Sus scrofa: one gene and its partners. The protein of the gene in region 3 interacts with the protein of the main gene of each other region in a pairwise test. Links are inferred from orthologs where the notes say so. Each region holds a gene or a part of one and is shown on either strand. Other genes may lie near its edges.

The links.
Region 1: the proteins of LAMTOR5 (region 3) and GIT1 interact in a two-hybrid assay, tested with the Homo sapiens proteins (2 studies listed by BioGRID and IntAct). The link is inferred for Sus scrofa from reciprocal best matches to the Homo sapiens genes LAMTOR5 and GIT1.
Region 2: the proteins of LAMTOR5 (region 3) and EEF1A1 interact in a two-hybrid assay, tested with the Homo sapiens proteins (2 studies listed by BioGRID and IntAct). The link is inferred for Sus scrofa from reciprocal best matches to the Homo sapiens genes LAMTOR5 and EEF1A1.

Annotation. Positions count from the first base shown.
Region 1 is NC_010454.4:45,778,533-45,788,937, forward strand, and holds the start of GIT1 (ARF GTPase-activating protein GIT1), read right to left. Parts: upstream 5,086-10,405; 5' UTR 4,965-5,085; coding exon 4,913-4,964; intron 1-4,912. Other genes in the region: ANKRD13B (ankyrin repeat domain-containing protein 13B), read left to right, coding at 9,280-9,393. UniProt on the Homo sapiens protein: GTPase-activating protein for ADP ribosylation factor family members, including ARF1.
Region 2 is NC_010443.5:92,416,842-92,427,033, forward strand, and holds EEF1A1 (elongation factor 1-alpha 1), read left to right. Parts: upstream 1-5,109; 5' UTR 5,110-5,142; intron 5,143-5,825; 5' UTR 5,826-5,860; coding exon 5,861-6,004; intron 6,005-6,199; coding exon 6,200-6,379; intron 6,380-6,500; coding exon 6,501-6,797; intron 6,798-6,880; coding exon 6,881-7,031; intron 7,032-7,119; coding exon 7,120-7,376; intron 7,377-7,464; coding exon 7,465-7,699; intron 7,700-7,799; coding exon 7,800-7,924; 3' UTR 7,925-8,212; downstream 8,213-10,192. UniProt on the Homo sapiens protein: Translation elongation factor that catalyzes the GTP-dependent binding of aminoacyl-tRNA (aa-tRNA) to the A-site of ribosomes during the elongation phase of protein synthesis.
Region 3 is NC_010446.5:109,717,890-109,728,070, reverse strand, and holds the start of LAMTOR5 (ragulator complex protein LAMTOR5), read right to left. Parts: upstream 5,408-10,181; 5' UTR 5,277-5,407; coding exon 5,071-5,276; intron 4,198-5,070; coding exon 4,136-4,197; intron 1,616-4,135; coding exon 1,498-1,615; intron 861-1,497; coding exon 800-860; 3' UTR 1-799. UniProt on the Homo sapiens protein: As part of the Ragulator complex it is involved in amino acid sensing and activation of mTORC1, a signaling complex promoting cell growth in response to growth factors, energy levels, and amino acids.

The DNA of each region.
Region 1 (10,405 bases), on a different chromosome or scaffold from region 3:
GACCCTGCCACATCCACACCAGTTGCCGTTGCAGCCCCGAAGGGGGGCAGCCCCAAGGGGTCGAGGGCCCGGGAGCCACTCTCCACCCCCTGGGGAGAAGGGGGCCACAGTGGGGTGGGAGCTCCTGAGCTGCTTCTCAAGGGTAAGGGAGATGCCACCCATCCAGGGCCCCTTGGGAGAGGGGAGGAGACAGCTACATGCAGCTCAGGCTGCGGAAAGGTCACGGGGGAGAAAGCAGCCATTGTGCGCGCTGGAGTGGGGGCAGGGAGCCTCTCTCCCAGGACACTGCTCTGCCCAGGCCCCCGCCCAGCTCAGGGAGCCCTGTCCTGGGGGTGGGGGTGGGGGGAGCTGGCTCTGAGCCTTGCCCCTACTGCTCATGTTGTCCAGAGGGGCCCCCCAGGGGAGGGCATAGGCTTGGGGTAACGAGAGCCTCTCCAACCAGAAGGCAATGCTCAGTCCCCTTCCAAAAGGATTTACATGAAAGCTCCCCAAAGAACTGTGAGGAAACTGAGTCAGGACACTGCCATGGCGAGTGTCCCCTCCATGGAATGGAAACAGGAAGTGAAAGAGGGGCTCAGCTCTTGGGTCTGGGCTTCTGTGGGGAACCCTCCAAAACAGGGCAGAGCAATGTAGGAGGTGACCCCAAACACCTTCCTCAGGGGCTGATTCTAGGGGCCCCAGGGGAAGGGTCCCATCATCTCTGCCAAGAGGGGGCGCCCTAGAGCAAACTTTAGTGTTGGCTTTACCCAAACTGGGAGGCACCCCCAGGCATGGAAAGCTCCTTCCCCCACTCCCAAACACCACTGGGCCGGGGTCTGCCTGCCAGCCATCTCCGGTGGCAGCGGCCCAGGCAGGAAGCTGGAAATGACGCAGCCTGAATTCCTCTTGTTGAAATGGTGGGGTTTCCTGTCAGTAGGGAGCCGCCCAGGCCAGGATCATAAATGGGCCGCCCTAAGGCCTCCATCCCAGACCTATGGCCTGCTCGGAGAGGCTAGGCCCGGAAAGGCTGGCCAGATATCCGGGGCCAGACCAGACAAGGTAAGTCCCTGAATGTGACAGTGACCCAGAAACCAGGATCTGGGGAGAGTGGTCTAAGGCTCTGCTTGGCACTCTCCCAGCCTGGGGGAGAGGTCCTGTCTTCCACCGAGACCTGAAATAGGACGGATGGGCAGGGGACACTCACCCGGTCTGGGGCACACGGATGCCAGCTCAGTTCTGGATGACACAGATGGGAATCCCACCCTAACTCCCTACCTACTCCCTGTGCCCGAGGGGCCTGGGCCTACCCAGGCCGGAGCCCAAAGCCCCACCTAGGCCAGTTTCTAAGCCGAAGGGCTATGAAGGGTTTCTGAAAGTCAAATGGCGATTGTGGTTTAAGGTTAAGGGACTCTTGCCCCAAACTCGGGGCAGGAGGAGCAGGGGATGTTAAGGGTTAGGGGAGCTGGTCACCTCCTCAGTGTCCTGCCAACCTTCCCCCTGGGCTTCTGCCTCAGGGTGGGAGTCTGGTATGTGTGGGCACGTGGCAGGAGGCATCCTGGGATCATGTTAACCAGCGCTAAACCCATGGAGGCCTCTGCTAAGGTGAAGTCACGTCCCCACCCAAAGTCTTTAGCGGCTCTAGGGCCAGCAGCCAGCCTCTCCTGATCTAGGGACCAGATCCTCACCAGAGAAGAGGGAGAACCTGCCATCTTGAAAACAGGCAAGAGTAATCCATTGGGATAAAGGTCAGAATGGTGGTTGCCTTTGGAGGGCGCTGACTGGGAGAAAACACAATAAACTGTAAAGTGATGGAAACTCTCTCAATCAGAGTCGTGGTTACACAGGTATATCCACAGGTAAAAACTCATCAGGCTAAACAGCAAGAGACAGGCACTTTGATGTACTTCAGTAATACTTCAATCAAAGAAGAAAGCCCACCTGTCAGCCCACCCACCATCTATATCATGAAGAGAGAAATGAGCCTGCTGGTTCCCAAATGCTTCTAGCTAGTGACCAGCCTTGCTCACTCAAGCTGCTTGTAGGGTGGGTATCTTGGGGTCTTCACAGCCTGTGCCTGAGGCTACCAAAGTGGGAAGCCTGGATGGAGGCCCATGGCAGACACGAGGAGCAGGCCCTTGAGAGCTGAGCCAGGACTGTGTGGCAGGGGGAGGGGAGGGGCAGGAAGGGAGAACACACATTCTCCAGGGTTCCCTGACCCCTGTCCCTCTCCTGGATTCCCAAGGTAGGAAGGGACACAGATGGTGCCTGACGAGGTGGCACCAGCTGCCAGACCAGCCATGCCATGCCCAGCTGCCTCACAGCTGTTCCCTGTGTGTCCAGGCCTGGGAGGAGAGAAAGGACAGAGCCCTTTGGGGTCAGGCTGCACCTTACTTTTCAGCTCCATGACCCTGCAAATTAACCAACCACAAAAGGGCCACAACCCCACTCCTAGGGCAGATTGCAGGGCTCCTATTACAGTGAGAAGCTTATGACTTTGGGTAGGAAGCATATTCCAAGGAGGTGGCTCTGGGCCTGGGCTCCAGACTGTTGGTTTCCCTCAAGCCTCTTACCTAAGCTGCTATAGGTCCCAGACTGAGAATGCCACCCCATGCATCATAGGGTGCAGGTGCCCCTAAAAAGTCAGCTGAGGTCCTGAGAAGCATCCAGACCCTTAGGGAATGCCTACCAGACAGCATGCTAGGTGCAGGGGTTGGGTGATGAAGAAGACTTTGATGGCACCCTGCCCACCATACCACCTGCCTCTTCCTGACCTGTATTCTGGATCAGGGGAAAAGGTAGTACCAGGAGCACAAAAGGTCTCTGTGGGATGAGGACTTGGGGTACGAGCTGGGTTGGGCACCCCAACACACCAGATACATACCACTCCTCCCTATGCCCGCTGAGCATCTAGAGACTTCAGCCAAATGGTCAAAAGCAATGGAGAAAGGACAACTGCCTTGATAATGCTGCCTGTGTCCCCCAGGTCCAGAATCAGGACCACAGACTTTGGAGATAGGATAGTTTTTTTTTTTTTTGGTCTTTTTCTAGGGCCTCACCCACAGCATATGGAGGTTCCAAGGCTAGGGGTCTAATCGGAACTGTAGCCACCAGCCTACGCCAGAGCCATAGCAACGCCAGATCTGAGCGGCTGGATCCTTAACCCACTTGGCGAGGGCAGGGATTGAACCCGCAACCTTGTGATTCCTAGTCGGATCTGTTAACCACTGAGCCATAGCAGGAACTTCTGGATAGATCTTAAAAACCATTTCTATTCCAACTTCTTTACCTCAGAGTTGAGGAACCTGAGACCCTGAGGGGGAAAAGTCTTGCCATGAGTCAGAGTAAGCTGGAAACAAAGGCAACACCAAAATCCAGGCTCCCCTGATAAGATATCTACTAAGCACCCCCTCCCACTCTTACTTGCCCTTCCCACCCCCACTGTGACGTGTGTCCAGCAGAGATGCAAAAGGGCGGCCTGGGACAGGCACTGAGAAAACAAGTTCTCCTCTTAGCCCTTCCATCCCCAGACCTGCCTGCATTTGGGGGAAGGAGATAGTAGTTTCTAACTCATCAGGGGTAAGGTCGGATGACCCACCTCCTCCCCCATAGCTTCTTGGGGGCACTCTGGACCCTAACATGCCCTGAGAGGAGGCCTCAGGGTCATGACTACCCAGACTACCATGCCTCTGCCAGGCACCCACAGTTCCCAAACACTCTAGCTTGGAGACATCAGAACCACCAGAGCGTCTGTTGCTCTCAACCTGTTGGGGGTCCTGGACCTCTCCAAAGGGTGGCTGGAAGTTATGGGCACACAAAACAACACCCCACACTCATGCTTAATTGCGCCCATAGTCCCCCCTCCCTGAGTCCACCCGGTCTCCCAGCAAGATAGCTCCTTTTATAAAAAGAGAGGCCGGTCAAGGGCCAGGGCTTCCTTCCCCGGGCCAGATGCTGAGCCCCATCACCGGCAGCGTCCTCCCACATCAGAAGGAAGCATCCTCTCCAGGTCACTGCTTCTCACTCCCTCAGCAGGTCAAGGGGTTTCACCTGGACCTGACTCTGCTGGGAATAAGAGAAAAACCACGGCGACTACAGCCAGAAGGCAGGCCAGGAAGCCAGGTGAATCTCAGGAATCTAGGCACCCCTTGGCACTGCTCCCCACCCATTTCTGACCAGACTGGCCTAGGAGATGGCAAGGGGTCTGTGCTCAGGTTGGGGCAATGCCAAGCCCACCTTCCAAGCAGGCCTTACTGGAGCACAGGGGAAGCTGAATCTCGTTTCCAGTCATCAGGCCTGGGGACGCCTCAGGGGAAGATGCCCAGGCTCAAGTGGCCCTGAACACCAGGCCCTGCAAAGGGCCCCAGCCTTGGGAGCCAGGGGCAAGGAGTCCTAGGAGTAGCCACCCCGTCAAATGCTCCAGAGGAAACAGTATCCAGACCCCCCCTAGCCCATCTGCCCAGCTCTCTGCCCCTTGCCCTCCGCCACCCCAGCGGGCGTGCAGACCATGCGAGCAGCAGGTGCAAGACGCGGGGGTGGCACTGAGATGACACAAAACCTCACTCGCCCCCACCTCCTAAACCCCGACCGGCCTCGCCACAGCCCTCCTGCCACCCCAGGCTGGCGCTTCCGTTTGGATATGAGATGGAAGCGGGGGGTGCAGCCAGCTGCCCGCCTCCCTCTGACTGAGGGGTGGGAGGCGGCGCCGGGAATGTCCTTTCTCGCTTGTCCACGGACACGAGGAAACTGGGGCCCCCAGGACGGCCCTCCCGCCAAGGACGAGGCTCGGCAGCGGCCGGGGCGGGGGCCGAGGCCGGAGGCCGCAGCCCCCAGCCCCGCCCCGCCCTCCGGCCCCGCACGGCGCTCCCGCCAGGCCCCGGCGCCCGCCCGGCGGCGCCTCGGTGCGCGGTCCCGCCCCCGGCCCGGCCCCGCTTACCCGGGGCGCTGCAGTCCGCACACACCTCCGCTCGCGGCCCCTTCCGGGACATCCTCAGCGGCGACGCGGCCGCAGCCCTCTGGGCCAGCGTGGGGGGCGCGGGCGGCGGGCCCGGGCGGCGGCGGCCCCTGCTGCCCGGCCCGGCTCCGGCAAGGCCCCGGCTAGGCTCCGCGCGCCCGGCCAACCGTCCGCCCCCGGGGCTGGCCCGGAACCCGCCGTGCCCGCCCGCCCGCTCGCCCTCGGGCGCCCTCCGCCCCGCGCCGCCCCGCGCCGCCCCGCCGCCGCTCGCCGCTCGCTCTCTCCGCCCCCTGCGCGGCTCTCGGCCGCTCCTGCAGGAAGCGGCGCAGGCCCGGCCCACCGGGGGAGGGGCAGCCTGCACACCCGCCCCACCGCCGGGCCCTGCCGGCCGCGCCTCCCGGAGAAAGGAAGCCGGGAGCGCGGGCGGGAGGGGGTGGGGGCGTTTAAAGGGGCCGCGGCCGCCGCCGCCGCCGCCGGGCCCGCGCTGCAGCGTCGCCTGCGCCCTGCACTGGGCTCCGGCGCGCCCCTGTCCCTGAGGCTGTGCGAGCTAGCCCCACAGCCCCATCCCCTTCACTGAGACGGAAGCTGGCCCGGGGAGCTTGAGCCCAGGGACAGTGACCCCTGGGGATCAAAGAAGAGAGTAAGGAGCTGAAGGCCCAGGCCCCCCTCCTCATCCAGAGGCTGTGGTTCGGGGTAACGTTCCTGTCTCTGTTTGGGGTGAGTTGTGCGTCCTGGTCCGCTGTGTGTTCACATCTGTGTGTCCAGGTGTTTGTGTGGTCACACTCTTGTTGACTACGCACACCGCCAACAATATGGACGCCCAAGTGCCAGAGGTCATGCAGTGTATACCCCTGCCTCCGAGCTGAATAAACATCTATCCCTCCTCCCGGCTTCCATCCAGAAATGAAAGAGTGTGGACTGTTTTTGAAGACCTCCTGAGCAGTGACCACTGTGCCTGTGTACAGTAATACCCACTTGGCATCGGTCTTGCATACATCATTGGTGTTTCTGAGCCACGGGAAGTCTGCGTGTCCAGGGCACAAGCATATAACATACAGGGGCCTTTTTTGCGGTGGTTTTTCCTCCTGGACTTCACACAGAGACTCGTTGGAGGATGGGGGACAGGGAGAGGAGGCAGCAGGCCACACGTGGGTGCACCCCAGCACTGAGCATGCTCCCCCATACACGTGTGCCCCACGTGCACCCAACCCCCATCTTGCAGCAAGAAAGGCTAAAGCGCTGGGTTTGTGGAGAGAGGGCAGGGGTGCTAAGGCCCAGGCCCAATGGGTCCTGATGAAGTGGTGACACGATTAAAGGAGGGTTCCCCAGTGGCAGGCGGGGAGTCCTGCTTAGTAACAAGGGGTGGGGGTAGGAGGCGAGTCCTTGGGCAGGGGTGCAGGAGTTGGTTGATTTTAAACCAGCGGTGCCAGAGCAGCAGTGACTTGTGGGTGGGCAGGCTGCTTCCCTGGGGGAGACAAGTAATGCTCATGAGTCACACCACCCGAAATACATGCAAAGCTGCCTCCATCGCCTTTCTCTGCAGCCCAGATTGACAAGTTTGTTTGAAATCGCGATCCACGGGGTATATTTATAATCGCACCTTAAAAAAATCTCCTTGCAGTCTTCCCCTCCCCCCCCGTAGCCAGCCGTTCAGCTTGCAGGGCTTCTGGGAGCAAAGATACCTCGCGGTGGGGGGGGGGGGGCACCACCTGCCGCCCGGTGCTGCACCCCCCACCCTCAGGAGTCCGTCCGCCGAGTTGGTGGTCCCACCCCTGGCGATGGGAGGAACGGCCAGGAGGCACGCGCGCGCGTATACACACACACACACACACACACACACACACACACCGCACAGCCCTTGAGCGGTGGCCGCCCGTTCACCCCCGATCGACCCCCAGCTATGGAATTTCATTTATTAAATGTCGAGGCGGCTGCTGGCAGCCCCATAGCTCGACTGTCTTTGTTTCTCTGCTGTGTGGGCGCGTCTCGAGCACGTGGCAGCTAGAGAGCGCGCAGGCGAGGAAAAGCGACCTGGGTTTAGAGTCCAGGGCTGCGGGACCAAAAAGAGAAACTGGCTGCCGGGAGGATAGGGCCCCCAGTCCAGGCTGAGGTCCCTTCCTCCTAGAGCTCCAAGCCTTTCCAGGGGAAGAGGCATGAGTCACCCTGTTCCTTCAACCCCACTAGCCCCATCTCCTGGTTGGCCCTGGGACTACCTGGGAGTGGCCCAAGCACGGATCCACTCTCCAAACTTTGTTCCTGAAGCCCCCAGCCTCGCTACAGCCGAGCTTCTAGGCCTGGGGCTAGGGGTAAAAGGATTTCAGCAGGATCTCCCTTTGGCGACGTCGCCTCTTCAGGAAACAAGGCAGTTAAAAGAGAAATCACAAGGTTCTAAAAACAATTTAACGGGGAAAAAGTACAGGCATTCTCCGGGCCACTCCTAGTCGTCCCTTCCCAGCTCCAGCCTCCTCCCCAACTCAGGCTGCAGCCACGACACTCTGCTGACCCCTCGTGGTGGAGCTGGGCAGCGGTCCCCGGCTGCTGGAGATGGCAACTGGCTCCTCCCGGGCTGAAGAAAGGGGCGAGGCAGTCCACTCCTCCCTCATCCTTTCCCGCCCAGGGCTGGCACTGCAGGGTGTGGAGTAGGAAGGAGAGAAGACCACACAAAGAAACCTGACAGAGGCTTTGAGAGTTTGCAAGCTTTTGCTAGCGCCTCCCACACAAACGCTTCTTGGATTGTTCTATGTAGGGCTGGTATGGAATCCCTTATGCCTGTCTTGTTCTAAGGTGGGCTCAGGAAGGCACTGCGCCTGGTCCTGCCACCTGTCCTAGTCGGCCTGGTTGGGGAAGGGATGTGCCAATATCAGGGGCAGTCACTATCCTTAGCTCACTCCAGGAGGTAGTATTTAGAGTCATATTTTAGAGGTGAGCAGTATGAGAAACCAGAAAATTTAAGCAATTTGCTTAAGGTCAGGCGTTTGGTAGGGAGGATTTCAAACTCAGGTTCTCTCAGACTCCCAGTCCCTCCTCCCTCCAGGAACTGGGCCAAGCTACTAGGTCCTTCCAGTTCTTGCAATAGGCAGTCCCAGAGGGCCATTTCACTTTTACCATAGCCTCTGCAGGCACCTTTCTGGAAAGACTTCTCTGCCCTGAGGTTATCCAGGAAGAAGACAAGCTCTGGAGTCAGTCACTTTCTCTCCTGAGGGGACATGGGAGGAGGTGGGAACTGCCACCTGCTGCTGTCTATGCCCAGCCCCACTCGGGTCCTTGCAGAGAACAGTATGGGGGAAGAAGAGTCTGTCCTCCTGGCTTTAACGGACATCCTCTTTCTAATGTCAAATGTGGTAGATGGAGTTTAATTTCAAAAGGCAGGAAATATAAAAAAATATATATATATATAATAAAAGGCAAGGAAGACTCCTATGTAGTATTTTAGGTGCCAGATTCCTGATTGGTGCAATGACCCATGGCACTAACACCCCGCACCCTTCTCGGGAGTCCTGTCAATCACTCTTTTCTTGGAATGTGGATCCCTGCTCACGTTCCATCGGGACCCAAACTCAATACCGAAGGCCACACCTTTCCACACTCCCTAATGCTTGAGCAAGGCCTGTAACCCCCTCCTCCTTCCCCAGCAAAAGGCAAAAATGCCAGCGGATGGGGGTTGCGCCCCCATCCATCTGGCGTCAGGGCACTGTCTCCGCTCCGGCCAGGCCTGAATGCCTCACCATCCTCTCAGCAGATCAAAGGAGCGTCAGTGCGGAACCCTCTTCCGCCACTCGCCACCCTGGTTCCACGCGGCGGACTACAAGCCCCATGATGCTGCGGGGCCAAGTTATAACCAGCTCGCCCGGAGCACCCGCGTCCCCCTCCTGTCTCCCCCGCATCCCCGCATCCCTCGCCGGCCGCTCGGGCAGAGGGCCGGGCTATGCAGCTGCGGGGCGCCGGGGGCCGCGGGCGCGCGTCCCTGCGGCGACGGCGTCTCTGGGGCCCGCGCCCCGTGCGCCCCCGCTGCGGGCGCCTGTTCCCTCCACCGAGCGGCGTCTTTGTGTGCGGGGGTGTGGGAGGCGAGGCGCGAGTCCGCGCCGCGCCGCCGAGTGCCCGCGCCCTCCCCGGGCGGGTGGGGGCCTCTCCGCGCCACCCGCCGCCGCCTCGCGAGGACGCCCGCGGCCCGCGCCGCCCGCACCGCGCCGGGCGCGCCACCCCCGCCCGCCGGCGCCGCTCGCACATGCCCGAGCCGCAGCCCTGCGAGCAGGCAGCGCCGGCCCCCCGCCCCGCGGCCCCGGGCCCCGGCTCTGGCGCCGTCCCTCCTCCCGGGCCGGGCGCCGCGGCCCCGGCATGAGGAGCGGGCGATGATCCCCGCCAACGCCTCCGCCAGGAAAGGGCCCGAGGGCAAGTACCCGCTGCACTACCTCGTGTGGCACAACCGCCACCGCGAGCTGGAGAAAGAGGTCCGCGCCGGCCAGGTAAGAGCGCCGTCGGGGACCCCACGGCCCGGCACGCCCGCCGGGCGTGGGGAGGGGGCGCGGCGCGGGCTGTCCCGCCCCCCTGGCGAGTTTGCAGCGCTTCTTTGTTCGCAGCCGCCGCTTTTGTGCTGTTGACCCAGAGAGGGTGATGGGAGAGGCCCCCGCCCGCTCCCCTCCGGCCGGGACGGGCGGCCCACACGTGCTCCGGACCCTCCCAGATTGGGGTAGGGTACGCCGTGCACCTCCTACGCCGGGGCAGAGAGGGCTGCGGGGAGGGGCTGCCAGCTCCATCTGTGTTCCACGCGGTGGGAGAGTCCGCCCCACTCAGCCCAGCAGCGACACCTCCCGCGTGAGTGTGCGGAGCTGGGCAAGGCCTGCGTAGGGAAGGGGGGGGTCACAGGTCAAGGATCAGAGAATAGGCTGTGACACTCGCAAACATTCCAGCCCCACCCAGTGCCCTCTACCCTAACAGCTGTTTGCTCGCACTGGGCAGAGCCTCTGATCTCTTAGCCCCCAGCACTGGCTCAGGAATGAGTGCTGAGAGAGACCCTCCAGGGTGAAGCCCTGAAGGGCCTTGTCCAGGTGCTGAAAGGCGCTCTCCTGCCCTCTGGTGCTGGGGCCTGGCTTCTAGTGCTGAGGCAACTAGGGGCACGCTGGCCTCTGGCAGGATTTGAGGTTTGCACACAGAGTGGGTTCCCTGGTTCCTTTGGTCAGTGAGAATGGGTAGGTCAGCCAGCTTTGGCTGGGCAGTGGCCTCCAAGAATATAAGGTAAGAGATGGGGTCTCCTGGCTAGTCTTCAGGACCAAGGCAGGCAGGCACAGGTCACAAGTAGTTCCCAGCTCTGCCCTTGGGCCCCAGGTCACAGGAAGGCACTTGTGGCATGGAGGACTCACCCTCCTGGGTGGGAAAGCAGGAGCCGAGCTGGGCCTAGCCTGCCCTTGTTTGCCTCCAGTTGAGGCCTGTAGACTTGGCTTGGATCTCTTATCCTAAGGCCATAGGCTGGGAGTGGCT
Region 2 (10,192 bases), on a different chromosome or scaffold from region 3:
GCCTCGCTCAGTAAAGAATCCAGCATTGCCTCAGCTGTGGTGTAGGTCACAGACAAGGCTCAGATCCTGCGTTGCTGTGGCTGTGGTGTAGGCCAGCAGCTGCAGCTCTGATTTGACTCCTAGCCTGGGAATCTCCATATGCTGTAGGTGCGGCCCTAAAAAGACCAAAAAAAAAAAAAAAAAAAAAAGAAAGAAAAGAAAAGAAAAGAAAAGATACCAATGAGTTTATGTTCTCCACTAAGTTAGCTTTCACAAGGCATACCAATTGAGGACAGGTGTTCCTCAAAAAACCTGTAGAAACAGTCTTAACTAGATAAGTGAATGCCCTGAATGTCTTCTCATGTCTCATTGCACATTAGAATTGTGGGAGGTGTTAAGTAGGAATATTGAACAGAACCATGTTAACAGATACACTGAAAGGCCAAGAATGCTGGCTATCACAGTTTGGTGAACAGCAGATCCTCCTCCTCTGACTCCAATACCACCTCTTTTTTTTTTTTTTAGACTAGGCTACCTAGATCTGCTAGTAAAAGCTTGGACTAGCTTTCCGGTCAGATTATGTGGGTTTCAGTGCTGCTCCACTGAGCCCCAACATACTTGCAGAAAAGACTTCCAATAAGTATTAAGTGAAAAAAAGCAAAGTGAAATACTTTTCTGCAAAAAAAGTGAAACTTAAAAGAAAGAATTTATGTCTGCATTTGCTTATTTTGCATAAATTATCAATTGCCTACAGGACCTCCATCTGTAAAATGTGGGTGCTGAGATTATGTTAAATATTGCAAATACTAGAACAGTGCCTGGCACCCTGAAGTACCATTTTAGGTGGATTTTCAATCCAAATAATTCCCTGGCTCAATCACATTCTAAATACCCTTTTATAAATCATGTTCAATTGGCAGAGGCAAGATGAAAATGCAGCAAGCCACAGCAAAATGTAATTACTTAAAGCTGCTCTAAATTAGGTCCAAAGCAGAGTGATTAGCCAATACTGAAAAGATGCTTGGTGAACACAATTACTACAGAAATATCAAAGAACTATAACTGGTTTCCCTTTTACTAAGTACATTTATTTAGTTACTGCCAAGATCCTTTTTCCCTCCTTTTAGGGAAAACAATGTATTTTAACAGCTTGCTACTCTAAATGGTATAAGCAACTTTAAAGAAAATCTTAAGCAAAACACAACCTTAGAGTGCGACCCCAAAACACATTAACAAGCCTCAACAAAGTTACTGTTACCGGTTTAACATCTAAAGTTAGAAAAAGGCATACTGTAACTGCTGTAACATCGTGGGGAAAAAATGCGCTAGAATTATACTCAAAACAGAGAGTCTGGGGGAAAGGTATCCTTTTTTTTTAAAGAACAAGATTTGCTTCGTCTTTCAGAGGCCACGCCACGGTGACGGAAACCGTCCGGCACCCCAAGCCACGTGGGGTTCTCGGCCTCCTCCCAGGCGTTTCCTTCCGCAGTCAGAGGACCGAAGCGAGTGACCTCCAGGAGGGGGCGGGAGGGGACTGGCAACCCCGGTCCCAGGGAGCGCAGCCCGCACGTCCCCGAAGGCGCCGCAGACCCGCGGATGCCGGAGCGCGCGGGCGGCTGGAGGCGCGGGCGCGGGACAGCCTGTGGGGCCCCGCCCTGACCCCGCCGCCTTGGTCGTCCTGCCTAGCTGCTAGGGTGCGCCCCCAGCCGCGCGGGCTTCCCCGGGACGCGCGTTCCCGCCTCCCTGAGAGCATAAATGTGAACCCTGCGTGGAGAAAAGGCTTTCGGACAGCGTCTAACCAAACTCACAGTATGGCTCGAGTTCCCTCCAGTCCCCCCAAATCTCAGCCATTTTCGGAGCGTGAGCAAGACCACCCCAGTCCTTGGTGCCCAGCAGGTTATGTACATAAATCAAGAACTAATGCAGAATTTTGCTGTTCCATAGGTGCTATTGGAAAAGGATTCTCTATAAAGTATTTATGAAGTGTACATGCTCTTATCTGAAGGCGCAGGGCCTTGGGAACAACTTTTAATGAACTGGGCGTATTTTACAGAAATCATTTTTCTCACTTTTTCTAAACTAAAATTATACTCGATGCTTTTCTTTCTTACCAAAGTCCATTTTCATCGTGACTTTTCTTAGATTAGATGTTAACTACAACTCTGGATTCTATGTAAAACTTTGAAATATTCAACTTTTGTATTTAGTCTTTGCTTCCTTCCCTTCTGTCACTAAATAACTATTTTTTTACCGTTTTCAAAATTTTCCCAGTCCTAGGGTATTATGTCCAACAATGTACAAACCTAAACTATTGGAGGTATATGGAAAGAAAGCATGGTAACCAAACGGAAAATTTTAAATCTAGTGTGGCACTCTGATCTTAATCTGAAATAGCACTATGCAGTTAATATAACTGTGGTAAACAAAATATGGCTAATTGTGGGAATCTAATTCCAAAGAGACTAGCCATTAATGTTTCCAAGGCAATAAATACAAACAAAGGTATTTGAATTATTCTATTGCTAGTGATTAGTTTTCACTATTTTTTTTTTTTTTTTTTTTTTTTTGGTCTTTTTAGGGCCACACCCATGGCATGTGGAGGTTCCCAGGCTAGGGGTCCAATCAGAGCTGCAGCTGCTGGCCTGCACCACAGCCACACAGCCACACAGCCACAGCAACGCCAGATCTGAGCCCCACCTGCAACCTACACCACAGCTCATGGCAATGCCATATCCATAACCCACTGAGCGAGGCCGGGGATTGGACCTGCTTGCTCAGACTCGTTTCCGCTGAGCCATGATGGGAACTCTATTCTCACATCTTTATCTTATTACAAACATGGACTAGCATATCAAGATAATTTCATCCCACATATATATGATTGGGTAAGTTCACTAGGAAAATGAATTGTGAAAAAAAGAATTTGTGAAAAAAAAGCTAGAAATATAGGCATTATTGAAAAGGCTTTCATTGCTAGAAAAAGATTAGTTATATATGTTCCTAGAGAAACTTTACATGGCTTAGTTTCTTTCATGAAAACGATCTCAAAGTTCAAACAAGGATACGAACTTTTTTTTTTTTTTTTTTTTTTTGGCCTCACTTGCTGGCCAAAAAAAAGACCAGGGATCAAATCCCATCCCTGCAGCTGCAACCTACACCACAGCTGTGGCAACAGGAAGGTCCTTAACCCACTTTGCCACAGCAGGAACTCTTAAACCTGAATACAAACTCTTAAACCTGAATTTTTTTTTTTTTTTAGAAATTTACATCTTGGGAGTTCCCGTCGTGGCGCAGTGGTCAACGAATCTGACTAGGAACCATGAGGTTGCGGGTTCGATCCCTACCCTTGGTCAGTGGGTTAAGGATCCGCTGTTGCCATGAGCTGTGGTGTAGGTCGCAGGTGCCGCTCGGATCCCGCGTTGCTGTGGCTCTGGCGTAGGCCGGCGGCTACAGCTCCGATTAGACGCCTAGCCTGGGAACCTCCCATATGCCGCGGGAGCGGCCCAAGAAATGGCAAAAAGACAAAAAAAAAAAAAAAAGAAAAAAAAAGAAATTTACATCTACAAAGAATGGTAAAAGATACAGGAAAACTATTTCAGAAAACCTTTTAAAAAGAAAATAAGCTATTGGATGGTGAAAAGAAACTAAAAGGACTGGAAAAACTAGATTCTACAATGGAATAGAAAGTAAGGAAGCACCATACAAATTTGCTTTTAACTACTTCCCATTGCTCTATATATTAGTTTCCCTTTTCCAATTAGATTGTGGGTTTCTTCCCCCAAAGGAAGTATTTCTTTTGCATATGCTTCGGAGCCACTCTTAGCTCTGGCCACATAGTAGGTTCTCAAATATTTGTTGATAGATTGGCTCAAAAAGTTGCAGTAGTGCTCTACACGTGGAAGAGACGATCTAGTAATTAGCTCATTTAAAATAAAGGTTCCTCTTTCTTCAGGAATATTTTTGAATATCTGCCTGATTGCCAACCAAAAAGGCCTCATCTTGTCTTGCCCTGGATTTATGCCTAAAATGCAGTCACAATGGATAGGACGACAAAAGATGAAGCCGTTTATTCAAATGGGATAGGCCATTTTTGAGAAACAGTGATTTCACAGCAAACGTTGGAGTAGTAAATTGGGTGGATAAGCTTCCTGGCGCTGTAGATCTTAGTCTCTACTTGAGATCGTGTATAAGCACTGAACTCAAAAAATTCTTTTTAGGTTTTTCATGCTTGCAACCAAGAGTATACACTGGAAAAAAAATGTTAATAGGAGGGTAGACACACACTCAGGGTCTTAAACGTAATAAAATTAGGATTAGAAGTAAAGAAAACTGTAGTACTTAAGTCTATTCTAAACTCAAAAACTGGACGTCTGGAGTACCACGTGGTGTGTAGAACGAACTTAGATAAAAGAACTGAATGGAAAAAGCCAAGAGGTCAGCGCAGGAGCCTGTTCGCCAGGCTGTTGGTCAGCAAACTGAGCCACTCGCGGATTCTCGGCCCTGAAGACCGCCCCGAGGCCCCTGCCGCCGCGGTTCCCCGGCCTTTTACGCCTCCCTCTCCAGCCGGAAGGGGCGCGGACGGCAAGGGCGGTGGAGAAGCCCCGGCAGAGGAAGCGGCTCCAGGGGTTAGTCCTTAACCTGCGAGACCGCAAGACTGAGGACCGGTGGGGTACTGCCGGGTAAGGGCTCCCATCTCGGTCCAACTTTGCAGTTAAGCTACGACCGGTTCAGGGAAGATTCTGGACGCCTCCCCGCCGCCCCACCCCCCAGCTGTGCGGAGAGTAATTCATACAAAAGGAGGACTCTCCTCAGCCAGGGAAATCCCAGGGACCGTCGATAAACTCCCACTAAACCTAGAACCGAGTGAGCGCTCGACCCCGCCTCCCACCCACCAGCAGTCGTCATCCTCCTGGTTGAGAGGAGCATGCGCCGGGCGCCGTGTGCTCGTCAGTGGGCTGAACGCACATCGCCCACGGTCCCCGAAGATGGGGGGAGGGGACGGCGGTGGAACCGGTGCCGGGTGGAGGTGGCGCGGGGTAAACTGGGAAAGTGGTGTCGTGTGCTGGCTCCGCCCTTTTCCCCGAGGGTGGGGGAGGACCATATATAAGCGCCGTGGTCCCCGCGAACGTTCTTTTTCGCAACGGGTTTGCCGCCAGGACACAGGTGAGTACGGGTGTGGCCTCCGTCCGCATGGCCTCCGCCGGTGGCCACGGCCTTAGCGTGCCTCCCGGCCCCCCGCGCGTAGAGGGCTCTGCGCCCTGGTCCTGATTCCGAGCTGCGGGCGGGGGGAGGTGGAGAACTCGAGGCCCTCCGCTCTCGCGGTTCCCTACCGCGTGCCCGGTGGCGGCCTGCTGGGGCGCCGTGGCCGCCGCGTGCGATCCGCGCCTTCGCGCCCGCCCCGTCTGTCTTCGCGCTCGAGTTCGGCCGGCAGCCGCGTGTTACTGCCAGGGCGGCCCAGCCGAGGCCGCCCAAGGTGGCCTCCGTGCCCGGCGGTCCCGGGGCAGACGGCCGCGGCGGGGCGGGGCGGGCGGTCGGAGACCCAGCGCCCCGCCCGGGCGGGCTGCGAGCGCGGAAAGATGGCCGCTCCCGGTCTCAAGATGGAGGACGCGGACGGCGGGCGGCGCACAAAGGGCCGGGCGGTGCTGCCCGCGCCGCTTCCCGGGACTCGCGGCCCGGGTGGGGGAGGGGCTGGGCGCCGGGGCGGCCCCGTTCGCTGGGTGTAGGCCGGGCAGGGCCCGCAGGGCGCCGGTGCTAATGCTCCCTGGAGTTTGCCCTTGGCTGTTGGGGTTGTGCCTGAGTCTCCGGTCGTCGGGACAGTAGTTTAAAGAAGGTTTTTGTCGTCTTAGGTGTCGTGAAAGCCATCGCTAAAAGCTAAGCAAAAATGGGAAAGGAGAAGACTCACATCAACATCGTCGTCATCGGACACGTCGATTCGGGCAAGTCCACCACTACTGGCCATCTGATCTACAAATGCGGTGGGATCGACAAAAGAACCATCGAAAAGTTCGAAAAAGAGGCTGCGGAGGTCGGTAAAGTAACGTCAGCAAATTAAGTGGTAGTTCTCTAAAACTAGTGTATATCTGACTTGAACTAGTACATTGCAAAGTTTGCTAAGTGGCTTAACTCCAGCCAAGTTTAGGAGATGGAAGTGAAACCTAGCATTGCTTCCAAGTGGGACTAAGGAGTTTAGTTACCGAGTAACCCTTCTTAATCCCTGCAGATGGGAAAGGGCTCCTTCAAGTATGCCTGGGTCTTGGACAAACTAAAGGCTGAACGTGAGCGTGGTATTACCATTGACATCTCCCTGTGGAAATTCGAGACCAGCAAGTACTACGTGACCATCATTGATGCTCCAGGACACAGAGACTTTATTAAGAACATGATTACAGGCACTTCCCAGGTTTGTAGGATTAAGAACTCCTGAGAGTAACATTTTGAGTTATCTATAAATTGGCGAAACCATGGATCTGTCCTTTTTGGAGAGGTTTTCACAGGGTGTGGCCTTTTTTTCTTTTTTAAAGGCTGACTGTGCTGTCCTGATTGTTGCTGCTGGTGTTGGTGAATTCGAAGCAGGTATTTCCAAGAACGGGCAGACCCGTGAGCATGCTCTTCTGGCCTACACCCTGGGTGTGAAACAGCTCATTGTTGGCGTTAACAAAATGGATTCCACTGAGCCACCCTACAGCCAGAAGAGATATGAAGAGATTGTAAAGGAAGTCAGCACCTACATTAAGAAAATTGGCTACAACCCTGATACAGTAGCATTTGTGCCAATTTCTGGCTGGAATGGTGACAACATGCTGGAGCCAAGTGCTAATGTAAGTGGTTTTGATGAGTTCTCAAAACTTAAGTCTGGGAAGGGATAAGTTTGAAAACACTAATTGATGATCTTGTGTTTTAGATGCCTTGGTTCAAGGGATGGAAAGTCACCCGTAAAGATGGCAATGCCAGTGGAACCACACTGCTTGAAGCTCTGGATTGCATTCTACCACCAACTCGTCCAACTGACAAGCCCTTGCGCCTGCCCCTCCAGGACGTCTACAAAATTGGTGGTAAGTTGAACGTTACACTCAGCTGGTATGGGTTGCAGTGATGTTTGTCTTCATACGAGATAATTATGCTGTGCTGTGAATACTTCAGGTATTGGTACAGTCCCTGTGGGCCGAGTGGAGACCGGTGTTCTCAAACCTGGCATGGTGGTCACCTTTGCTCCAGTCAATGTTACAACTGAAGTCAAGTCTGTTGAAATGCACCATGAAGCTTTGAGTGAAGCCCTTCCTGGGGACAACGTGGGCTTTAATGTCAAAAACGTGTCTGTCAAAGACGTTCGTCGTGGCAATGTGGCTGGTGACAGCAAAAATGACCCACCTATGGAAGCAGCTGGCTTTACAGCTCAGGTAACACTTCAGTGACAGGTTTTTAAACTGCCAGAACCTTAACTGTCTAAATGTCTAAAATGTGCTAAATGCAAATTTTCTCCCTAAGGTGATTATCCTGAACCATCCTGGCCAGATCAGTGCTGGTTACGCACCTGTGCTGGATTGCCACACAGCTCACATTGCCTGCAAGTTTGCTGAACTGAAGGAGAAGATTGATCGTCGTTCTGGGAAAAAGCTGGAAGATGGCCCCAAGTTCTTGAAATCTGGTGATGCTGCCATTGTCGATATGGTTCCTGGCAAGCCCATGTGTGTTGAGAGCTTCTCTGACTATCCTCCTCTGGGTAAGAGTGCCTTTTTAGTGTAATTAAGCTTCAGTAAAAATGGAAAAGCAGTTATGTAGAGAAAGTGTTTCTCATGGTGATTTAATTTTTGTTTTAATAGGCCGATTTGCTGTTCGTGACATGAGACAGACAGTTGCTGTGGGTGTCATCAAAGCTGTGGACAAGAAGGCAGCTGGAGCTGGCAAGGTCACCAAGTCTGCTCAGAAAGCTCAGAAGGCTAAATGAATATTATCCCCAATACCTGCCACCCCAGTCTTAATCAGTGGTGGAAGAACGGTCTCAGAACTGTTTGTCTCAATTGGCCATTTAAGTTTAATAGTAAAAGACTGGTTAATGATAACAATGCATCGTAAAACCTTCAGAAGGAAAGGAGAATGTTTTGTGGACCATTTGTTTTGTGTGTGGCAGTTTTTAAGTTATTAGTTTTTAAAATCAGTACTTTTTAATGGAAACAACTTGACCAAAAATCTGTCACAGAATTTTGAGACCCATTAAAAAAAGTTTAATGAGAAACTTGTGTGTTCTTTTGGTCAACAGAGTAACTTCCTATGAAGGTAAAGGCTGGTCATAACCTATTTCTAGTGTTAAGATTTGTGGATGTTTTTTTCTGGGTATGAGCTTCATGTTTCTCAAGACTGTCTACAGAGAACTCAAATCTGCTTAATTACAGAGCCAAGTGTTGGCACAACACTTAATAGGTTAGGATAGATAAGCAAACAATGACTTTATGTAAGCTAGGTTGTAAGAACCTCAAATTGTGAAAGGTTATGTTGCATAAGACTATATAGGTTCATAAATTGAGTAAGTCAAAAGTTGTTTCCCAGTCATGGGGAATGTAGAATCACATTGACAGTACTGGAGTAATGTGGGGTTTCAATAGTATTGAGCTCTTACCCTGCTTGGGGCATCAAAGAGTCTAGAAAAAGTAAAATGCTGGAAGTGCACTTCCTGTTACTTAAGTAGAAATTCTGAATAGAGGTTTTTATCTAATGAACAAGGTTGGTGGAAGAGATTGCCATACTGAAGATTAAAGAAGCATTTTGAGGAACTATGGTGATAGAAGGGCCCTTTGCAGTTAAGTGTATGGTAGGGTGAAGAAGTTTGGAAACGTGTAAGTTAACAGCTGTTTACAACACTGCTTGCTGGAAGGTCAGAATCTGAAAATGGCTCAAAAAGGGTCATGGTTAATATCCTTGGGTGTTGACAACAATTGAGGGACCTGAGTTGGGGTAGTTAAGTCTGAGTACACTTGTGTATTTGATGAAGCAGTCTATAATTCTGTGATATTGGCTTGGCTTTTCAGATTAAAGGGAAATTTACCCAGCTGGAATTTTGGTGAAATCACCAGATGTATTCTATATGGCTTTTTTTGCTAATTTTGCTTAAGTGTCCAATTAAGTATGTAGATGAGAACTTTGCAGTTGGAAGATGTATTTTCCTTTATCACTTAACCAAACATCCCTGAGGCCAGCTCCACTTTCTTAGCCTTTGGTTTGAAAAGACTGAAGATGGAGACAAAATGGCGTTAAGAATTGCTGGCTGTCAAGTGGAGCTGATGGAACAGCAAATCTGACAAAGCTGGAGGATTTTAAATCCAACCCCCGCCCTTAAACTACAGAAAGTAACTCAGTTCTGAAGAGGAGCAGGGCCACACACAGTTGGTCTACATTGTCTATTATACCAGATTGTCTGATTTGAGCACCACCTACTGGTCACTACAAAGTAGGTTAAAGTAACTTCTCTAGGTTCAGAATGAAGTGTCTTTGGTTTTTGGGGGGGGGGCTCCTGAGGTTTTTTACACAAAGTTGCCTTTCCTTTTATTTGAATGATAAAATTTGCTTTATAAAAAACCGCTTGATCTTAAACTATATTTTAGGTTGGCTAGCTGTTGAAATACAGTGTATAGGATGTATTAGAGATGTTGAAACTTGTACCCAGGAATTCTGGTGCGGTTTCAAGATAGGAAAATGGGAAAGGCATTCTGGATTAAGAGTTTTTAACACAGGTTGCCAGTAGTAATACATTTCTTATTTTTAAACTACTGTGGTTACCAGAATAGGCAATCTTGAATAAATTCGGGCCAGATCTTGACAGTTACTTAATCCCATTAACAGAATTTACCTCCCATATCTGGTGCATGAGCAGCTTAGCTGTCTGGACCAAGAGGGAGATAGATAAAATTTACTGTGAATTAATCAACTCATTCCCAAGAATCAATTCAGGTGAATAATTCCTTTGAAACTACCACAGACTCTACACCCCCCCCCCCCCGCCCCCCAGCCTATGCACCTGGCCAGGGGTAGAACCCATGCCAGGGCAATGACAAGGCCAGATCCTTAACTGTTCAGCCACCAGGGAATTCCCAAAAGGCATTAACTAGATACTGATTTAAATAATCCCCTCGACTCTCAAAACTACTGAAGTCACCTCAGTTTTTTGGATTTTTGTTTTAAATGTAATTTTTAAGGCAGAATAAATTGACCATACTACAAA
Region 3 (10,181 bases):
AATGAGAATTAAATATATTCCTGGCATACGGTAAGTACCTAATGTATCTGCTCTAGTGTTTTTTGGTTTTTGCTTTTTTTTGTTTTTTTTTTTTTTTTGCTTTCTAGGGCCGCACCTGCGGCATATGGAAGTTCTAGGCTAGGGGTGGAATCAGAACTATAGCTGCCAGCCAACACCACAGCCACAGCCACACTAGATCCAAGATGCATCTGCAACCTACGCCACAGCTTCCAGCAATGCTGGATCCTTAACCCACTGAGCGATGCCAGGGATCGAACCTGCGTCCTCAAGGATACTAGTCGGGTTTGTAACCCACTGAGCCACAAGAGGAACCCCATGCTATTATTTTTTTTATTGTGGGGTAGGAGTATGTTTGACTTGTTTTACATATCCACGGATGCATCTGTGAGATCCTCTGTATTTCAGGAGCTTCCACAAGGGAAGAGTTTGGAGCAGTTACCTTTTAAAGATTACAATTTGGTAATTGAAAAATAAACATTTGATAAGAATTTAAAGAATCCAGAAAAGATCCAAGCTTTCCTCTAACCAGGTTTATTAAACATAACAAGATTCTATATATAAAGTGACCTAAACCTGCTGCTTCAAAACATGATACTTTCCTAACCAGTATTTTGATAAGTCAATCCATGGAATGGCAAAAAGCAGCTTACTCTAAAATTAATAGAAAAGCACCCAATGCACATTATACGAACAGCCTAACTACTGGAACTTGAATAGTTCTGTAAGGTAAGTATGAATGAGGCCCTGTGACAGGCTGCAGGAGAATGGACACAGGGTGTCAAGAGGCCATTTTATGCACGGCCACTGTGATGCCATCGTGCTTCTGGATCATGATGTTCCTGAAAGGCAAAGTGGAAGATATTCAGTAAAAGGCTACAGGTGGGAGTCAGTGTAAGATTAAAGATGCTGTTTGGTTTAGGATACAACTAAAAAAATAGTACTTATCATTTTTCTATGTATAAAAGCAATATATAAACACAACAGAGCATTTGGGAAATACAGAAAAGTATAAAATACGAAAATGAAATTAATTTTATAATCGTATCAAAGACAACCATTATTAGTATCTTCCTTTTTTAATCTGGTGTATAGCATACATATCTTCTCATTTTACAAAACTGTGATCATAATGAGCATAGTTTTGTATTCTGCTTTTTTCATTTACTATTGTTCAGAGGACCCTCACTCAAAACATCTTTATATTTCTATTACTACACACACCGTTTCTGTTCTTGGTTTAGTCTTCCTCTGCTTTCTTTTACTGATAGTTCGTGACAGCTCTTACTCTTCATTTACATGTACCACTGTGGTCTGAAAGCACAAGAGCTTCAGAGATCAATGCAACAGCTCCTATGGTCCAAAGGGCGGAACCATCCTCCAAGTACTTTAAATGAACACAGGGCAAGCCCCAGTCAAGTTCCCCAGGGCTTTTTCTGAATCAAAAGGAAAGGAAGGGATCTGCTGACATCTACTCACCCGTTATCTGATTCTAGACACACGACAGGAATATCGGTGGGGTCTGAGGTTAGCTTAGCTGCTTGCTGGGCTAGGACAGATATCACCCCAGCATGCTCATCAGACAGGGTCCCTCGGCCTAGAAGACAGATATGGTATCATGTTGCCTGACTGTCCAAAAATGAGTACAGAGCTATAGTAGAACTAAACTCAGTTATTCACAAAAAGAAGGGTCAGCTCCTGGGCTCTTAGCTACTGTTAGTACTGTACGGACATGAAATGATTCTGCCCTGAGACTCAGCTGGTTATCTCAGTGAGGAAGCCAGACAACAGCTTTTAAGTCAATAAAGCCGTAACACTCAGTTCTCCAAGTCATTTCCATCACCATCTTCAAACACCTTCTCAAGCATGTAAGGAAGCTATAATTCAAGTCAGTCTGGAAGCAAACTGAAACCAAGACGAAATTCAGAGGTGAGACTGACAAAAAGCAGTCAGTAAGGACAAGAGACGTTGAAACTAATTAATTCCTGGAGTTCCCTCATAGCTCAGTGGGTTAAGGATCTAGCATTGTCACTGCTATGGTGCTGGCATAGCTGTGGCATGGGTTTGATCCCTGGCCTGGGAACTTTGCATGCTGTGGGTGAGGCCCTCCCCCAAAAATCCCAACTAATTAATTCCTCATGGGAAATCTAATTTCCTTTTACTGAGTTCAACTTCAAAGAATATAAAGATCTTGGCTCAAGAGTTTAGCTGTAGGATCTCCTTAACAGCATACATAACTATTCTATAAGCAATTATGTCCATTAGAACAAGCTGGTTGTTTTCAAATAGGAACAGAATTAGCTTTTTACTAATGTCTGTTTTAGCCTGTAGATAATAACTTAGGTGTGAGGTACAAAAAGTAATCACTAAGTTTACCGTATATTTCTGTATATAGAGGCAACACAAGCCCATGTACTTGAAACCAGGTCAGGTAATGTACATGCTACTATGCAGAGTTGATGAAGTTACTGTTGTTTATAAAACATTAACTGGACAGACACAATGTAGTCTTTTGGGCCTTAAAAGCTTCTTTTTTAGAATGTATATAAAATTTATATATATATATTTTTTATGGGATGGAAATCCTGTGAAATTGGATTGTTATGATCATTATACAACTACAGATGTGATAAATTCATTTGAGCAATAAAAAAATAAATTTATATATATTTTTATTAAACAGTAATTGATTTACAATGTCATGCCAATTTCTGCTGTACAGCAAAGTGACCGCACACACACACATTTCTTTTCTTATATTATCTTCCATCATGGTCTATCCTAAGAGATTGGATATAGTTCCCTGGGGTATACAGTAGGACCTCATGGTTTCTCCATTCTACATGTAATAGTTTGCATCTACTAACCCCAAACTCCCAGTCCATCCCACTCCCTCCCTCCTCCCCCTTGGCAACCACAAGTCTGTTCTTTATGTCTGTGAGTCTGTTTCTGTTTTGTAGGTAGGTTCATCTGTGGGACCTTGAAAGTTTCTTAAAGAAATTAATTTAGTTTTAGATTTCCATACTTGAATCTCAACCTTTCCATCTGTAAACCTGGCAAGCACCTCAAAAAAAAAAAAAAAAAAATCTCCCTTTTCTTCCAACTAACTGATTTGTGTATAAAACCTGAGTTACACAGACTAATTCTTTCAATTACCCTCCCTGCAAAAATTCAGAGCTTTAAAAAAATCTTGCAGAACAGAAGAGTAGTGAGCAGGGTGTCCTGGGTTTACTAGTTCTGACATTAATTAGCTGAAGCCTCCCATTGTTTACCTTTCTGGATTTCTTTCCTCATCTGCAATTTGTTACTATCTGTTGAGCATCATGTCTGGGTTCTGTGCTGAGTGTTTTACATATTTTATATGATCCTATATTATTGTGATGTAGAGGCTTTGGGGCCAGACTCAAATCCTAGCTCAATCACTTACTAGTTGTATGACCCTGGTCCAGTTACTCAACCTCTGTGCCTCAATTTCTTTATCTACCTCATAGGATTGTTACAAGGATTAAATGACTTGATATGTGGAAAGTGCTTATAATGGTGCCTGGCACATAGAGCTCAGTAAGTGCAATTCCATAATAATAATTATTATCAAACAACAACCCACTACAGAAACTGAAATTCGGAAAGGTTCTTTTTGGTCCAGGTTCACACTAGTAGTACAGGGGAGGGCTGGGGGTTGAACCTAGGTGTGTCTGAGCTTGCACCCCTCATTTTTACTGCCTACTTACTGTTCAGTGAAGTTGAACTAAAAAATAACACCATCCATCTGGCAGGGTTACTGGGGAAATTTAGCAGTCCCAAAATACATTCAATAAATGGTAACTGCTGTCATTATCTGAAGTCCTTTCTAGACTCTGTTTAGAATGATTCAAATACTATTCTAGAAGAAACAACTATGTAGTGCTAGAACTGCAAGGGACATCTCCACCTTTATAAGTATCAACTGAAAACATTCAGTTTTCTAATTTTGCTATTGGGAGATGATCTCTATTTACAGAAAAGTCCCCCAAAAGTGGCAGGGTGGCAGGAAATGCAAACTAGAGAAAGCACCCTAGGCTCCCAGTCAACATCAAGTGCTGTGCAATCCCTGGAAGGGCTGTTGTCAGATACTTACATCCCAGATTGAGTCCTTGTGAATCTGTGCACAGGACTCCAACAATGGATGGATTCTTCATTCTAATTCCAGGGACACAGGAAGAAAGAAGCAAATGATGTAGGAAAAATGGATTTAAATATAACACACACAGGCTTTCTATGTACCCAGCACTGCTGTTAAGTGCTTTAAATCAGTGTTAGTCTTTTTTCTTTATCCCTCATCCCTACTCCAAGAAAAATTACATTAAATCATAATAAGCTAACTTTAATGATGGTTAAACTAATTTCTCTCTGATGAGAGAAAAGACTGCCAGGTACTGCTAAGCTTTGGAGGGCTACAAACGTTGCAATAGCTAGGATTTTGTTGCCCTCGTTAAAAATATGTATTTTAGCCTACTCTCTCACTTGAAAGAACTGCTGAAAAGCTAACTAAAACTGGTTGCCCCATGGAGAGGAAGTGGGAAGCTGAGCGGCCCTGATGCAAGGGAGGTGTCTCCCTGTACGCCGTCTTAAACTTTTCTAATTTTGGATTTTACGTAGACACTATCTGTTCGAAAAATTTAAAGGATGTCTTTCATCTTCTTGAGCACCAAATAACTGGTTACACCAGAAGGAGGTACGCGTGTGTGTTTACGTTTACACTGAAGATACAGGTGGTAGGTACCTCCTTCCCCCAAATGAACTCGGTTCCTAAAACTCCTAAAGAACGGCCCCGCCCAAACAATTTCTACACGACAGGCGGGATTTGGGCTCGGACCCGGGACACTTGTTCCGGAGGGAGTGTGCGGAGCACCGGCGGGATTTAATTCCGGGTTACCCTCCACTCCCATCGGCGGCCCGGGGAGAGAACGTCCCCAAGAAGCCCAGCGGGCAGTCACAGCTCGCGCCTTCTGTTGCGCTCAAGGACAGGCCCGCCGCGAACCCAGGACAGGCCGACGTGGCCACATTACTTACGTGTCCTCCAAGTGCTGCTCCAAGGTTGCTTCCATCCCGCCGCCGTCCGCCGGGCGCACCACCCACGGTGGGTCTTCTCCTAGGAAACTGGTCTCCGGCTCCGCTTGGTCAGTCACATGATGCGAGCAGGACGCGGACCTGGACGGCGCCTCCAAAGGGACAAACTTCGTGGCGCAGTCTCGGCGTTTTCTCCGGGATGATGTCATTACGCGCCCTCTGCCGCCGCGAGCTGGGCGGGGTTCTGCTGCCTGGGGTGCGACCCGCGAGGGGACCGCGCGGGATGTACCCCCGGGAGGGAGGTCTGTAGTCTTCCCTTGGAGCCAGCTTCCTGGCCTGTCCCTTTGTCTCCGCCGTACAGACCTTTGGATTTCGATTCCACCGACTCCGAGAAGTCGGGCCAGGTCTGGTTGAAGTTTTACAATAATCCGGCCGGCCCCGCGGGGTCCCATCCAGGTGGTAGGGCAGGGACAGACAAGAGAGACACAGGATTCCGATGAAGGGTTCCCCAGGCTTGGAGGGACAAAGAGAGGAAGGACAAGGGACTAGAGGATGAGGCGGAACAAAATTAAAACCCCAAGCTGGGTAGGGGGGCAAGTGTTGCGATTTTTCGAAGACGTTGGTTCTTCCTCTTTGGAGAGGATTCGGGAACGTTTGAGAAAGAAGGTGTCATTGTAATAAAGACTGGGTAGGACCACTTAAAAAGTAACCTTTAAAAAAAGTTAATTACAAAAGCAGTTATAGGGAGTTCTGGTCGTGGCTCAGTGGCTAACGAATCCGACTAGGAACCATGAGGTTGTATGTTCGATCCCTGGCTTGCTTAGTGGGTTAAAGATCCGGCGTTGCGGTGAGCTGTGGTGTAGGTCGCAGACCCGGCTCGATCCCACGTTGCTGTGGTGGCTCTGGCGTAGGCGGGCTACTACAGCTCCGATTCGACCCCTAGCCTGGGAACCTCCATATGCCGCAGGAGCGGCCCTAGAAAAGACATAAAGACAAAAATTAAAAAAAAAAGCAGTTGTAAAAATAAGGAAAGAAAGCCCACCCATTGTCTTTGTCCGGAGATGACTGATAAGGCCTTGGAGAATATTCTTTCCGCCGGTTGGTTGTCTTTGCAAATGTATACTTTGTGTTATTGTTTTTTCTTTTTTAAAGCTAAGTTGACACACATATTGTACAAACAATTCTGTAGCTTATCTTTTTCACAAAATTTAGCAAAAATGTCTTTCTGACATAAAGTTCATTTACGGCATTTGTAATACTTAGAAAATATTACATATTATAGCTTAACCAACCCCTTATTAATGTACAGTTAGGTTGCTTATAGTTTTGTTGTTGTCGTTGTTATGTTTGGGTTTTGGCTGTGACAAATGCTGGATGAATATTCTTATGGCCAAATATTTGTGCAGTTTAAATTTTTTCTTATAGTAAGTTACAAGAATGGAATTATTGGGTCAAGGTTTTAAAGTCTTTTAATATACACTTACAAGTTACCCCCCAGAAAGGTGGTTCCAGTTTACACTCAGATTGGTAGCATTTTGATGAGAATGGGAGTGTGCCCAGAGGCTCACCCATCCCCCCATAAGCCTCTACCCGCTCCCTGTAATCCTCCTGGCAGCACACCTCGACCTCCCTTTTCTCCAGCCCTCTCTCCTCCAGCTTTTATTCACTTTCCAGCTTTACTCAGCTTTCACTTCTGTTCTGGGGCACAGCTTCCCGGTTCCTCTTGCCTTGAATTCAAGAGTCCCTCTTTATTCCCTAGCTGTGATGGTGAGAAACTTTCAGCTTCCTTAAAATTCCAGCCTTGAATGTCGTAATTCAGGAGTTTTAGACTCCTGGCCTAGAGAAATGATTTATATTAACTTAGGGGTTACTATAATATGCGACATTTAAATTTTAGAAAAAGCAGTTTAAAACCACTCTTAAAAGATAGCATTAAAAAACGTCGGGAGCCCGCCCACTTGTCCTGCAGTACCGAGGCAGCTGGGTACTGCAGTACCGCCCCCTTGTGGTCCATGTGGTGTAAAGCTCTGCTGGTCTAGGGCTTCTCAGCTCTGGCTTTTTTTAACCTTCGAGGCAGCGCTGTCCAATAGAAACGTAATTTTGTTTGTTTATTTATTTATTATTATTTTAATAGTTATTTCACCATACAATTTTTTTTCTACTGTACAGCATGGTGACCCAGTTACACATACATGTAGACATTCTATTTTCGCTCATTATCATGCTCCATCATTTGAGTATATGTAGTTCCCAGTGCTACACAGCAGGATCTCATTGGTAAGAAACGTAATTTTATTTATTTTTTATTTATTTATTTTTTTTGCAATTTCTTGGGCTGCTCCCACGGCATGTGGAGGTTCCCAGGCTAGGGGTCGAATCGGAGCGATAGCCACTGGCCTGCACCAGAGCCACAGCAACTCGGGATCCAAGCCGCGTCTGCAACCTACACCACAGGTCACGGCAACGCCGGATCCTTAACCCACTGAGCAAGGCCAGGGATCGAACCCGCAACTTCATGGTTCCTAGTCAGATTCATTAACCACTGAGCCACGATGGGAACTCCAGAAACGTAATTTTAAATGTCTTGGTAGCCACACTAAAAAACTTAAACAGGTGGAATTAATTTTAATATTTTATGTATCCATATACTGTGTCCAAAATACTATCATTTCACCATGTAATCAATTTAAAAAATACAGAGGTTTTTTTGTTGTTGTTGTCGTTGTTGTTTTGTTTGTTTGTTTTTTGCATTCTCCCCCCCCCCCCCCGCAGACTAAGTCTTCAAAATCTGGAGTTTATTTTACACAGACAGCATGTTTCCCTTCAGACCAGCCATATTTCAAGTGCTCAATAGCCGTGTGTGGCTGCTGGTCAGCACTGGGTAATGGAGCTTCAGGCTACCTCTGATTATCTCAAAGCCAGACCAGTGATTATAGGATTCTCAGAAAAGCTGGTGATCTTTTGGTGCTGTTAAGGCAGGTCTCTGAAGGGAGAGTGAACAAAGAGGAAGAGGAGGACGGCCGGCTCAGACATCCTCGTTGCTCTGGAGGTGGAAGGCAGGCTCTTCCACACCACCCGGTCTTTCTGTGTCCTGCTGCTGTTTTGCCTCTGCCCAGATGGGCAGAGCGAGTGAGGTGTTTTATATAAGCTGGAGAAATGCTGGGGCCTGGGGCCATGGTTAGTTGGAGTAGGTCTCTGACCCCTAAGTGTTTTCTGCTTTCTTCAGCTTGTAGCATATTTGAGGATTCTTTAGGCTTAGTTTTGAGTGCAGATAACCACTTTTGAGGTGACAGGAAAAGTCCGAAGGTACCCATATTGCCTCATTGCATTGCAAGTTTTTCTTTTTTTGTGTTTATTCTTGGTCATGCCCACAGCACGCTGATGTTCCCAGGCCAGGGATCATACCTTTGCCACAGCAGTGACCCAAGCTGCTGCAGTGATAACGCTGGATCCTTAATTGCCAGGCCACCAGGGGACTCTGCATTGTAATTTTCATATGTTTACTTTTCAAGACGGAAAGAGTGTTTTCTCCATTTCTGCATCCTGAGCACTGTGGAACCCAGTAGTAATCCCTTAAGATTTAATGAATCTTGGTGGTATTTTTGAGAAAAAGACTCTGTATTGCATAAAGGAGCTTGAAGTCCTCAGCTTTAACTACTTTTTTTTTTTGTCTTTTGAGGGCCACACCGACAGCACATGGAGGTTCCCAGGCTAGGGGTCTAATTGGAGCTCTTGCTACCCGCCTACACCACAGGCACAGCAACTCCAGATCCGAGCTGCATCTGCAACCTACACCACAGCTCACGGCAACACCGGATCCTTAACCCACTGAGCGAGTCCAGGGATCGAACCTGCAACCTCATGCTTCCTAGTCGGATTCGTTTCTGCTGCGCCATGACGGGAACTCCAGTTTTAATGCCTTTATCCTCCCCTTCCTCGCCTCTCCGTAAGCAAGCTCTTGGAAAATGGAAACCCCAGGAAGGTCTGGCACAGATTGCACATGCTTGCGTGTCCTGACCGGGGAAGGGGAGAGGAAAAGCCAGGTGAGGTGAACCAGACCTGAGACCCCAAGCCCTCTTCCCTGACCTGTCAGGAGCAGAATCCTCTGGGGGGTGGTTCCCATTTAAAAAGTGACACTCTCCTGGAAGCTCTCCCTCCCCTGGGTGCAGAGGGCTCTGCTGGGCCAGGGCTGGCCCTGTAGGTCACGCAACGCCCAGGGTTGAAGGCCTGCCATGAATGAGCCCAGAGCTGGGCTGGGGAATGGCTCTCACATGCCACCAGGGGGCACCAAAGCCACAGAAAATCCTGCTCAGCCTGGGGGACCCTGGGTGAGGGACGGGGCCCATGAGCCTCCTGAGCTAGTACAGCTTGGTGAGGAGAATGCTAGGCTAGGTGGGCGGCCTCGGAGTCGCCAGAGGTGGGATTGGATCCTGGCTTGGCCACTGCCTACGCATGTGACTTTTTTTTTTTTTTTTTTTTTGTCTTTTTGCTATTTCTTGAGCCGCTCCCTCCGCACATGGATGTTCCCAGGCTAGGGGTCGAATTAGAGCTGTAGCTGCCCGGCCTACACCAGAGCCACAGCAACGCAGGATCCGAGCCGCGTCTGTAAACTACACCACAGCTCACGGCAACTCCGGATCGTTAACCCACTGAGCAAGGGCAGGGATCGAACCTGCAACCTCATGGTTCCTAGTTGGATTTGTTAACCACTGTGCCAGGACGGAAACTCCTTACGCATGTGACCTTGAGCCTCATCTGTGACATGGGAGTACCATCACCTGCCTCATCAGGTGGTGGGAGGATGATAGGTATTTTTATGAAGAGGGCTGCTGCATTGTGGGAGTCAGTAAATAAGCTTTGTCAAATCTCAGTAAGAAGACTCATTTGTTTCCTCAAATTGCTTACAGTCTAGGTGAGGACTGTAAATGAGATAAATACATTTTATTATAAAATTTATAAAACAGTGAGAAAAAAAAAAATCATCGGAATCCTAGCCCTAACCCTAATGGCATGACCGGGAACCAGCTGAATAGAAGGGGATAGGTTTCGGGTAAGGTGGAGGTGATGGGGAAAGGCATGCCACCGGGTTCACAGGAGTCCTGCCAGCTAAAGGC